2 linked regions of the Caenorhabditis elegans genome follow. The protein of the gene in region 1 interacts with the protein of each later gene in a pairwise test. Each region holds a gene or a part of one and is shown in the gene's direction. Other genes may lie near its edges.

What was found.
Region 2: the proteins of epn-1 (region 1) and itsn-1 interact in a two-hybrid assay, tested with the Caenorhabditis elegans proteins (3 studies listed by BioGRID).

The regions. Positions count from the first base shown.
Region 1 is NC_003284.9:14,815,245-14,820,312, reverse strand, and holds epn-1 (ENTH domain-containing protein), read left to right. Parts: upstream 1-1,798; 5' UTR 1,799-1,818; coding exon 1,819-2,091; intron 2,092-2,141; coding exon 2,142-2,403; intron 2,404-2,480; coding exon 2,481-2,638; intron 2,639-2,687; coding exon 2,688-3,074; intron 3,075-3,126; coding exon 3,127-3,277; intron 3,278-3,508; coding exon 3,509-3,687; 3' UTR 3,688-4,508; downstream 4,509-5,068. Other genes in the region: Dual specificity tyrosine-phosphorylation-regulated kinase mbk-1, read left to right, coding at 1-119, 211-288.
Region 2 is NC_003282.8:17,117,862-17,125,689, forward strand, and holds the start of itsn-1 (Intersectin-1), read left to right. Parts: upstream 1-1,820; 5' UTR 1,821-1,822; coding exon 1,823-1,972; intron 1,973-2,023; coding exon 2,024-2,608; intron 2,609-3,091; coding exon 3,092-3,553; intron 3,554-3,700; coding exon 3,701-3,925; intron 3,926-3,965; coding exon 3,966-4,602; intron 4,603-5,383; coding exon 5,384-5,754; intron 5,755-6,340; coding exon 6,341-6,657; intron 6,658-7,557; coding exon 7,558-7,828. Other genes in the region: uaf-2 (Splicing factor U2AF 35 kDa subunit), read right to left, coding at 204-538, 590-682.

The DNA.
Region 1 (5,068 bases):
AGGATCAGAACGAGTGGAGGAATCAGTTTGAGCTGGATGACACGTTTCAGCAGAAGCAGCGAAAAGTTGATGACTCTGTATCGAATCAGATTTCTAGAAATCAATTCAATCCACAACAGGTGAGATTTTTTTTTGCAATAAAAAAAATGCGCTGCTGCACCCCCCACCCATCATTCAGAAAATGCCAATTATTGAAAATAAATATTTTAGGTATCGATGACGCATGGAAATGTAAATGCTAACAACCGAGAGATGGAGAAACTCGATTACCCGAACAACAAACTCTGAAGCACACAGAGTCTAATAGCTAATTTTTTTGGAAATTCTGTCAATTTGATGTAATGCTTGTTATTTTTTTTTGTTTCTGTGAACAATATGGAGTTAATAAACACTGGTTCAACTTTAGCATTTTTTTATTACTACTGTTGTATTTTCAATTATAAGTTCTCAATTTATCAATTTAAGAGGGTTTTTTTTTTGGAAGTTTTAATTAAAAATATTGGAAACATTTAAAACAAGCATGAATGACGTGTCAACAGAAAAAAAAACCTGTTCAGATATTTCGTAACTTCTCTATTTGCCAATGAGCTATCCTCAACCCAAGCAGCAGCGGGGCATTCGTCACCGACTGCAAAAAAGTACTACATACTAGAAGTTTTTCGTTCAGAATTTTCTTGCAATTTCTGCCATTTCCCCCACCGCCCGTTTGCCACCAATGTCCATCCATCCATTTCGCAACGCGACCAGGAAGATATTATAAATCTTCGACGCCTTTAGCCAATCCCCCCCCCCCCCGTCATCTCCACAGGAAAACCTGTTTTTGTTCTTCTCAAGTTCCATTCGTTTCTCTGTATTCTCTTCATTTTTCGTCCAATTTCATATAACACACCCTTTCCATCCATGTTTCTTTTTTTTTTTTAGGAGGCCCGTTTTCATAGAAAAATGAAGGCATTTGGAAATGCGAAATACATGTGTATGCATGTGTGTATACGTTTGTTTGCCGCTCTTCCAGTCCTAATCTGTGAACACCTTCAGGCAGCGACGGATAGTAGCACACACTATCAAAAACTGATACTCACTGACTACCCCTTCTTCTCTTTTCATCAATCATTCAGCCCAGCACACACTCACTCACTGAAACGAAGCAAATAATCTCGTGACTTTGCGAACTCACTAGCTTAATTTCTTTCTTTTCTGACCACCGTGCGCTGCCACTGTGTCTCTCGCACTATCCGGCTCCTTTTTCTCTGCGCACTCTTTTCTCTGGGGGACACTTCTAACCATCTGCGTCTCACTGCAAATGGTGCTCTCTAGCACGCGCACTGACACTCGTGCGCTCACTGTGCGCTGTTGCACGCGCGCGGCGCGCGTTCGCCTCGAGGAGAAATACTCTCGCGCTCAACACTCAACACTCACAGATACACACACAGACACAGACACAAAACGCATGCGACGCGCGCAAAAAGACCACACACACACACACACATATATATTCACTCACAAAAGACTCACCCTCTCCAAACCTCACTCATTCGCCTCTCTGTCTTTCTTTCATTTTCTCTCTCTCTCAAATATGCATTGTACATGCGCGATTCTATTGGATCGTTTCTTATCAATTTCTATGTTTTAGCCACACCATTCAGCCACATCATCCCTCTTGCCAGTTGGCATTTTTGTAGTTCTCTGTTCAGTTTATTTGATTGGGCATAATCTTATCCATGTGATGTTTCCTTTTCAGTCAATGGTCATTCGTTGTATAATTTTGATTTCTGCCTTTGCATCTCTTTAACTTTTTTTATTTTCAGGCGGGGAGCAAACATGTCGATTTCGACGATTCGCCGGCAAGTGAAGAACGTCGCCTATAATTTCTCGGATGCACAAGTAAAGGTTCGCGAAGCCACAAGCAACGATCCATGGGGACCATCCACAGCGCTCATGTCCGAAATTGCCGACTTGACGCACAATCCAATGGCGTTCACTGAGATTATGTCAATTGTTTGGAAGCGATTAAATGATTCTGGCAAAAACTGGCGACACGTGTACAAAAGTCTGGTGCTTCTCGATTTTCTCATCAAATGCGGCCACGAGAAGGTAATGGTTTTCTGACTCATATGCATTATCGATTTTTTTTCGCATTGCAGGTCGCGCAACAATGCAGAGAGAACGTGTTCACCATTGAAACACTCAAGGATTTCCAGCATGTGGAAGACAATCGGGATCAGGGCTTGAACATTCGAGAGAAAGCAAAGCAGATCACTTCACTGCTCTCCGACGATGAACGCTTGAAAAACGAAAGAACACGCTTCATCCTCACAAGAAACAAATTCAAGCAAAACAATCCAGGACCGGTTGGAGCGGAAAGTCGTCGCAGCAATCGTCATCATGTCACCGACGCGTCTCTTGGTAAGATATAAATATCATATTGAAATAGCAGCGCGGATACTTCCCCACAACAACTCTGCTCAATTAAATTTTTTTAGACCCCGAGTACGAAGATGCTCGTCCATCTACCGCCACCGAGGAAGAGATGCAGCTTCAAATTGCTCTTGCTCTTTCACGAGAGGAATGCGAAAAGGCCGACGAGATGCGCAAGAGCGATGATGCTCGCCTTCAAATGGCTCTGGAAGAGTCGCAAAAGGTTTGTTTAGAAACCCACCATATTCCGTCTTCCCATTAACCCCTTATAGCTTCAGGATGCCGATCGCCTCGCAACGACCAAGCAAGGTACCGTGAGCAGCGGACAATTAACCCAATCCGCTCTTGACGACCTGCTTTCGTTGGGTGTTGGTGAGCTGGTCAGTGGAAACAACGATCAACCATCGTCATCGTCGGCTTGGGGAATGAATGATCCATGGGGTGCTCCACAAGCTTCTGCCTCTCTCAACACAAACGATCAAATGTTTGCTAACTCGATGTCCAACAACGATCCATGGGCTACATCGACAGTTGCTCAACCAGTTGCCGCTACCGCTCCAAACTCTGATCCGTTTGCTTCTTGGGATGCACCGGCTCCAGCTGCAACTACTCCATCAACAATGCCAACGAGCAGTTCGTTTGATCTTCTCGGAGGAGATGTAAGATCTATTTTCAGTCATTCCGTAGATTCTGTATATTTATTTATTTCAGCTGCTCTCCCCAACTAACTCATTGAGCGCCAACATCAACACTAACAACTCCACAAATGGTACCAGAAAGACTCCAGAAAACTTCCTTGGGGAGAACTCTAACCTTGTCAACTTGGACAACTTGCTGGGAAGCGGAACTCCAAGCACCACAGGTCAGTACAACCAAATTTATTTTCAGATTGGTGCTATTTTGTGCTACTGCTCTGTGTTTGTTTGTGTCATCCCTCTTAAACTCGTGCTCACACCTTTACGGCAGAAGCGCCGCTGATATCAAAATCAGCTGATAAGATGTGATGTCGTAAAGGGCACAATTTTGAAAGCGCGAACGCACTGGCGCAATAAAAAAAACTGATAATGATTGAATGTTCTACATTTTTTTTCAGGTGGAAACCCATTCCTTACCGGAGCCGCTCCAGCGAACGCCAATCCATTTGCTGCTCAACAACGAAAGTCTCCGACATTGAATGAGATGCGTGCTGCTCAAGGACAGGCCCCTCCAATTCCATCGATGGCTCCACGTGGGACACTTCCACAAGCCAATCCATTTGCAAATCCTTTCTAAACAGTCCGGGCAATTGGTCTTTACTGTGAAACTACCTATTCTAATCAGCTTTGATATATTTCTGTCAAAAACGAAACTCACTCTCATATACACTCACCACGTTTTTCCCCCGCGCCTCCTTTACAATTTCTTCTTCAATTCATGTTTGTGAAGCCCGAAGATAAATTAAACTTTGTAATTTATGATACTTATATGTCGATTATTTGTATAATCTATTTATATCTATTGCAAGCCTATCCTCCTTTTACAGCCTGTCATTGCTTGTTTGCATCTTCTCCATCCCATCCCCACTAACTTGTCATCCTCCTTTGGCTAAACTTGACTCTTTTTTTTTGAAGTAATTGTTGGTGACGGTTCAAACATTTCGTCCCCACCCATTTGCCTTCTCTTCTCCCAAAATTTTTGGGAATTATTTTATACTTTTTCTGTACAATTTTCGTCTCCCGCAACTTGTCTTGAATTAAACCGTTATAAAACGATACGATTGATGAAGTTGAGTTGTTCAATTTCTTCACTCTTTTTTTCTTTTTTGGCTCCACCCTTTCCTTCAAGTTTTCCCACATCTTTTTTTTCTTCGTGTGTATGGTATTTTTTGTAGCGTGTCTGATTGAAGGAAGTCTTCTTTTTTTTTCTCTTTATTTTCTTTGGTTGCTTCTAAATAACATCATATCAAGCAAATGCTGTCGACTAACAGTAATTTGGAGACATAACATTTTTTAGGAGATGCATATGACTTCCCACATTAAAACAAACAACAAAATTAACACAACTTCTACTGAAAAATATTTTTTTTTTCAAATGAATAAACAATCTTATCATTTTTAAATTTTTGATAAATCATTATTAGTATTTCATGTTTTTGATGACCGCAAATGCTACTTTAGACACGAAAAAGCCATCCATCGGAAATTTGGGGAACAATTGCAGGAAATTGAATATAAAAAGCACGAGAGCACTTATCCGGAATGAAATTGGCGGAAAAGGTTATGAACAATGGTTCAGAGGGGTTATCGCATTTATTGGAAGAAAAAATGGGTGAACAAGGGATGGCCTAGAAGTTATTGTTGGAAGAATGTGAAATTGTGTTTTTTTTTTCAGGAAAGGGGTCAAACCTATTTTTAATGTTCTGAACAAAATAGGGCAAGTGAAAAACGCTTAAAAAGCTCCTTCCTCCATTAGTCACGCAAGCCTAATTTTTAATTGATCCGGATTACACACTTTTGCAATATTTAATCGGCTTTTTGAACACTTTCATTCATAATTTACTCAAAAAATGGTGGTTTTACAGAAAGTTTCGTTTGTCTTTCAAGCAAAAAAAAGGTCAGTGCAATACCGATAAAAGTTTTGCCCAATTTTTCTATATAGTTGAAACATATGAAAA
Region 2 (7,828 bases), on another chromosome or scaffold:
TTTTCGCAGATTTCTTGCACAAATTTCCAGCTAAATTAGCAAAAATGATACGGGCTAGCTCGCCAAAGTGCTCAGATGGCCCCTGTGCCAGGTATATCTCCATTTCAATGCCCTTCCGATGGGCAAAGTACAGTGGCACGTTCTCTTCACAGCACTTGAGCTCAGCTTGAGCCCTATCAACACAGCAGCTTCAGCTTACGCACCATCGATTATTCAAATCATTCTTTGCTTTCTCGGCGTCCTCTTCCTTCATAAATTTGACGTATACGTTTCCGACCATGTGTTCTCCGATATTCTCACAAACGTTGATCTCCTCCACTTCTCCATATTTTCGCTCCATCTCCACAAAAACCTCCTCGTAGAAATCGTCAAAATAGCGCTGTTCCTGATCATTCCGCTTGCCGACTTTATCGAAAGCATCCGCCTGACGGACATCCACTACCGGATTGTGGTAGAAGTTTTTGAGCACAACTGTTGGCGAGAATGTCGGTGTATGATGGGCTCTGGAGCATTTGTCTCCGTGGCGGCAGGCTCCTGTCTGCAAAAATTATTTAATTATTGAATTTTTTCACAGAAATCCACAACAAACCTTGAAGAAAAACGAGCAATTGACTTTATCCTTCTCAGTACCATAGATTGAGGCCAGGTACTCGGCTCCGGAGAGCCCGTCACCATACGACATTGGGATTCACTAAAAAAAATGATTTTTGACGAAAAATTCAATTTCAGCGGGAAAACCCTGAGAATTACGATTTTTAAACACAAATTCTGACGGAAATACTTCAGAATACAACGTAAAACTCAAAATATCAAGAATTCAATGCAAAAAACAAACTGCGAACCTGAAACAGATAGAAAATGGAAATAATAACCAACTGCCCTGCTAAATTCGAAAACGCAACGAGGCACGCTTTTGTGGGCGGGGCGAGCGTCGGCAAGGTGAGCGCGCGCGTTTTTCTAGCGTTTTCTCTATTTTTCTTTTTTTCTCCCATGACCAGAGATTAATAAATAAGTTGAAATTTAAGTGAATTTCTCTTCAATTTTCCGCGATTATACCGATTAATTCATGCACCAAGGCTGAAAGAACATTTAAAAATCAATTGGAGCTCAAAATTATTTGGAGAAAACTCAAGAATACGAGATTTTTCACTCTAAAACTAAAATTTGTTCTTAAAATGCAAAGTTTTAAATGAAAAAAAAAACATTGATTTTTTTAAATATATAAAAAAGGGGTTTTTGATTCCTTTAAAATTCTCTGCGTCTCTTGCATCTCTCGCCGCGCGCTCTCGGGGACCACTCCTCTTTTGGGGCACGCAAAAATCGATAAGCTTTCGGCGGCGCTTGGCCTCTTTCTTATTTCTTCTTATTTCTCAGTTCCTGAATCCAAATTTACAGAAATTTCGGCGCATTTTCTCTTTTTGTTGCGAAATTCGCATTTTTAGCGTTTTTAATCGAAAAACCCCCAATTGACAAATCCGTGGGAAGTTTACATAGAAATTTCCAGCTAAATTAGGGAAAAATCACGAATTTTAGCCAAAAAATTACATTTTATTGAGCCGCCTCGCTCGCCGGCCGCGCCGCGCCGCGGCCAATTTTTACAGAAATGGCCGAGAGGGAACCTAGGCCACGGCCACGACCGCGACGCAGCTGGCGAGCGGAGCGGCTCAAAAAAATCTATTGTTTGCCCAAAAACATGTGTTTTTTCATCATTTTCGCTGATTCTTCGCATAAATTTCCAGTTAAATTAGAAAAATATGGCTCGTTTTTTCCCTTTTTTGTTGCGAAATTCCCATTTTTTGTCGAAAAATCCCCTGTTCTCCAGATGACAAATCCTTGGGAAGTTTCCGATGCCGAATATCAGAAGAATTTCGCAATGTTCGGCCAATTAACCGGAGGACAACCGTTTATGGATGCGGTCACTGCACGAAATGCACTAATGCGCAGCAATCTGCCAACGCAAGTGCTTTCTCAGGTTGATATTAAACTTTAAAAAAAAAAATGTTTTTATTCAAACAATTTCCAGATCTGGGCGCTGTCAGACTTGGATAAAGACGGCCGGCTCGATATTCGTGAATACTCTATCGCGATGCGACTTGCTCTGAATTGTCTTGCCGGAATTCCGATTCCTCCGCAACTTCCGCCTTCCCTGCTGGTAGTTCCCGCCAGAAATGCTCCACCAACCTGGCCTGGAAGCCGGCATGGCAGTGTAGACTACTCACAAACTCTTCCACCGGCCATTGATCGTCGAATGTCGCAGTCATACATCCCATCTGCACCGGTTTCGATTGCCGGAACTCCATCTAGCAGACACAACTCGATTTCAGCTGGAAGCCCTTTGAATAATGATCGCAATGTCTTCGAAGGCCGGCAGCTGGAAAACTGGGCGATTCCTCACCACAATAAATTAAAATATTCTCAATTGTTTAATGCTCTCGACAAGGAACGTCTGGGCTCCCTGAGCTCACAAGTCGGACGGAGTGCTCTCGGGCTTTCAGGCCTTCCTACCAATGTTCTCGCGCATATCTGGTTTTTGTCAGATGTGAATAAGGATGGAAAGCTATCAGTGGATGAGTATGCGATTTCTCAGTATATGATTGAAATGTTCAAAGTATGTGTTTTGTTACCGGCCAGAAGCTCTTTATTCAAAAATTGCACTTTTTCCATGAAAATCCAACTTTTCTGATCTAAAATTGATATAAAAATGTAGAAAAAGGTTCTTTCCATCTGAAAATATTGTATTTTTCATGTTTTTTCAACAAAAATAAGGAATATTTTCAATTTTATTTGTCAAAAACTTGGAATTTCAAAATAAAAAGTCAAGCCACGTGGACGCTCCTCCCACTTTGCAACATGCGGCGCGAGTTTTCGCAACACTGCCGCACGGTTGTATTTTCTTCACGAATTATAGTTTTTCAGTGAATTTTACAGGATTTTTCAACGTTTTGCTTGTTTTTTTCAGCAAAATTTCATGTTAAAACGCTGAAAAATCTCAAAATTTCAAATTTTTCTGTACGAAAATCGGAAAATACCCTAAAATCATGAAACACCATAAAAATTTCCGCTGAAAAACTTAAAAAAATTTTTTTTTCAGAGTGGATTCGCGCTTCCAAAAATAACCCCGCTGGAACTTGTCCGGATGTGCGGAATCTCATCAAGATCAGCCAACAATACCCCTGAACTCGAACCAGGAGCGGAGCCACCACAAAAGTCACCAGCTCCGAAAACTTTTGAAGATAAGCGACAGGATAACCTATCTAAAGGTCAGGCAGAACTGGAGAGACGACGTAGAGTTCTTGAAGAAGAGGAGCAACGAAGACGAGCAGAAGTAGAGAAGAAAGAGAGAGAAGAAGAAGCGAAGAAAAATAGAGAAAGACAAGAAAAGGAACGACAGGCTGAAGTTGAGCGGCAAGCTGAACTAGAAAGACAGAGAATAATTGAAGCTCAACGGGAGGAAGAGGAGAAGAAGCGGAGGCTAGAGATGGAGAGACGCAGAGAGGAGGACGAGAAAATGAGAAAAGTTCAAATGGAGAAGGCGAAAGTTAAACAGATGCAGGTACAGATGCCTGAACAGAAAAAATGGAATTTTTATGTGGATTCTAGGCGATTTTTTGAGTTTTTCTTTTGAAAATTGAACTTTTGGAACACAGAAATTTTATTTACTCATGATAAAAAAAAACCAAATTTAAATCCCTAATTTCAGAACCAGAAGCAACAAGAGAACGAGCGTCTTGCACAACGTCAGCAACGAGAAAAAACGCTGCAATTTCAATTACAAGCACTTGATGAGAAGGTTATCGATGTTGAAGTGGACATTGGAAAAGCCAAAGAAGCAGTAGCAGAAGTGACTGGATTTATTGAGAGAATGAGATCTACGAGAGACGAGAAAGTCGCGAGAATTAAAGAATTACAAGAGACTAATCAGAAGGTAATACGCGTTTAATCTATATGCAAATTACCCAAAAAAGTTCCAGACAGCTATCGAATCTCAAGAACTCGGCCATCAGCTTCTACAAAAACAGTCGGCTCACAAGGAGACAACGCAGAGAAAAAGTGAACTAGAAGCACTGCGAAGGAAACGAGATGCTATTCGAAAAGCTATAGAAGATGCCGCTCTGGAATTATCCACAGAAAAAGAGAAATCGTATAATCAGACGGAGATTTTAAAGACGAATAAGGAAAAGTATAAGACTGATGTTTATTCGAAACTTGTCGCAAAACGAGAAGAATATCGAAATTCGTTTGAGCTTCTGGTTCATGCTCAGACACATGCCAGGAGCAAAATTGGGGAATTTGAAGCGAAATCTGCTCCAGCTTCAGCTGCTCCAGCTCCTGCTCCTGCTCCAGCTCCTACTACCACCAACGGATTCCCTGCAAACTTCAACGATGCATTCGGAGAATTCGATAAAACCGATGCAAGTCAACGTTTCGACGCGGATTTCGGTGCCACGTCGACAGCGGATCCATTTGCTCAGATTGCTCAGGCGCCAGCTCATTCGAAGGGTGCTGTTGATCAATCGGCGTTCAATATTCATGACACTTATAAGTGTCGAGCTCTTTTTGCGTTTGAAGCAAGATCCGAGGATGAGCTCAGTTTTGAACCAGGTGCTGTCCGAACAGCAATATGTCCCTTTAAATGGCCTTTTGTTGTGTAGATTTACGAGCTTCTCCGGAAAAAGCTCGAAATTTCGGAATTCGTAGGAGAAAAAGTTTGGCATAAAATTCAGGAATTTTTAAATTTTTCCAAAAAAAAATCTGAAAAATTGCAAAATTCCACTAAAATCAAGGAATTTATCTAAAATTTTTAAGAGTTTTTCCAGAAAAAAAGCCAAAAAAAAAGAAAATTTCAATTTTTTTATTCTTATCTCTCATTTAAAATGACTTATTTAATATTTTTGAAATAGTTGCATGGAAAACAAATTAAATGCATAAAAGATGTGAAAAATTTCAGAAAATTTGAATTTTTTCGAAAAAAAAAACTGAAAAATTGCAAAATTCCACTAAAATCAAGGAATTTTACTCAAAAATTCTCAAACTGAGCTGAAAATGATTCCAAAAATTTTGAAATTTGTAGGAGAAAACGTCCAAAATTCAGGAATTTTTAAATTTTTACGAAAAATTATTGGAAAAAAGAACTATTTTTCCGCAGTTTTTTCAAAAAAATTTTGAAATTTTTCAAAAAGTTTGGATTTTTTCGTTTTTGGCAACAAAAAAAACCATCACTAATCAATGTTTACCTAAAAACCCCGTTTTTGTGAAAAAAAAACCCTTTTTTTCCCAAAAAATACCAATTTTTGTCAGAAAAAACTTAACAAAAAGTGTCATTTTTGACAAAAAAAAGGCAAAAATTCGAGAAAAAGTTAATTTTTATTTATTTTTCTTCTAGGAGACGTCATAATCGTCTTCCAATCCCATGCAGCTGAACCAGGATGGCGTGCCGGTCAACTTCGTGAGAAAGTCGGATGGTTCCCAGAAGCATTCGTCGAAGCAATCGCAGCAGTACCTACTCCAGGCGGTGATCCACCTATTCAGAATATGCCACCAAACATGACGCCGAGCTCATCAGTAGATCAAATTGGAGTGAAAGCGGCGCGGAAAGCGGAAATCGCAGCGGCAATGGGATTGACAGAAGGTGGTGCTCCACCTGCTTCAAGTGCTCCAGCAGCAGCAGCAGTAATATCTCAATGTATTGCACAATTCCAATGGAGAGCACGTAATGAGGAGGATTTGTCATTTGCAAAAGGAGATACAATTGAGGTGGAGAGCATTTTGCTGCGAAAAATCCAAAAATTGTCTGAAATTCTTGAGCTTGAACCTGAAAAAAATGAGATTTTACAAGTTTTCCGGCAGAAAATTTGAAAAATTTGAAGTTTTAAGCCAATTCTTAGGAGTTTTCAGCCTATTTTCCTGCAAAAACAGCTTGAAAATGTGATTTTGACGAATTTTTGAAAAAAAAATTGGATTTTCGGTGAAAAAATCGATTTTTAATCTATCTTTCAGCTAAATTGTATGATTTATAAAATAACCTTTTTTCCCAAAAAAAACCATTTTCCCCATAATAACTCTTTTTTCTAAAAAAAAACCTGTTTTCTACCAAAAAAAAACCCATTTTTATCAACAAAGGAACCCAAATTTTCAACAAAAAAAACCTTTTTTACCCCAAAAAAACCTATTTTTCAGCAAAAAAATGAGCGTGGTTTCTGGGGAATTTTTCCAAAAATTTGAAAAAAAATTTAGGATTTTATTCCCATTTCTTCTTTTCACGATTTTTCTTGAATTTCAGACTATTTTTTTTAGATTTTTGAAGGTACACCTTAACTCGAACTAATAACATTAATTTCAGGTACTAGAAAAGCAAGAAATGAAATGGAAAGGTCGAAATCCTGCCGGCGAAATTGGATGGTTCCCGAAAAGTTATGTGAAAGAAGTCGGAGCAACCACCAGCACCACGACTCCGATTGTGTCTCCTTCGAAGGCTTCTGCAGGAGCTCCAGGAGCAGCAGCAGGAGCTCAATACGACGTGGTACCTTCCGATGTGACATTACAAGCCTCCGAAACAGCCCCCCAACAACAACTTTACACTGTGATCTACGATTTTGAAGCTGTCGAGACAACAGATTTGGCACTGCATGTCGGTGACACAATTCTAGTGCTCGAGAAGTAAGTGGAGAGAGGAGCTCTCGCTGCTCTTGACAGGAGCTCATTTGGAATTGAATTTTTTCATTTTTTTGATAGCTTTTCGTATTCTTGCGCTATTATTATTATGCTTAAACGAAAGGTTTCGGGGTATCAATTTATTACATTTTGAACCAAATAAGCCCAAAATTTTTAAAATAATTGTTTCCAATTTTGCAAGGAAAACCCTATTTTTGGCAAAGTAACCTCAAAAAACTATTTCTTGTCCAAAAAAACCTTTTTTTTTTCAAAAAAGTCTAATTTTTGTCAGAAAAAAATCCAAAAATGTGTCGTTTTGCCAAAAACACCAAAAAAATTCCATTTTTGCAACAAAAACAGCTAAAAAATACATTTTTCCCCAGAAAAAAAATCATAAAACTCAGTTTTGCCAAAAAAAAAAACCAAACACGCGTCATGTTTACCAATAAAACTTTTTTTGTTTTAAACCGATTTTTTCAGAAAAAATCCAAAAGTGTCATTTTTAACATTAAAAAAACCTAAAAAGCTATTTTTTCAAAAAAGGCACAATTTTTCTTACTTTTGCCAAAAATGTGTCATTTTCGTCAAAAAAAACCCTGAAAAAAAAACAATTTCCAAAAAACACAATTTTTACCGAAAAAAAATTAAATTTAAAAACCAAAAAAAGCATATTTTCTCAAAAAAATTAATTTCTCCACAAAATTAAAAAAAAGCCCGACAAAATCCAATTTTTGCAAAAAAAAACCGAAATACTCTTTTTTTTCCAAAAAAACTTCATATTAAAAAAAACCCCAAAAACCCAAAAAACTTGTTTTTTAGCCAAAAAAAAATTACTTAAAAACTGAAAAACTGACACCAAAACAAAAATATCAATTTTCAGTGATTTAAATCAAAAAATAATTTCAGAAACGATGAATGGTGGAAAGGGCGTTGCAACGGACGTGAGGGTATCTTCCCAGCCAACTATGTCGAGATATCAGTCCAGCAGGCAGGGGATCCGACTCCACCAACTCAAGCTCCAACTCCAGCGGCTCCACCAACCGTCCTCTGTGAAGCTAAAGTTGTCGTGGATTTTGTTGCATCGGCGCCAAATCAATTGGGAATCAAAGTTGGCGAAATTGTGAAAATTCGTGAAAAATCAGCAGCCGGCTGGTGGGAAGGCGAGCTGATTCGAAAT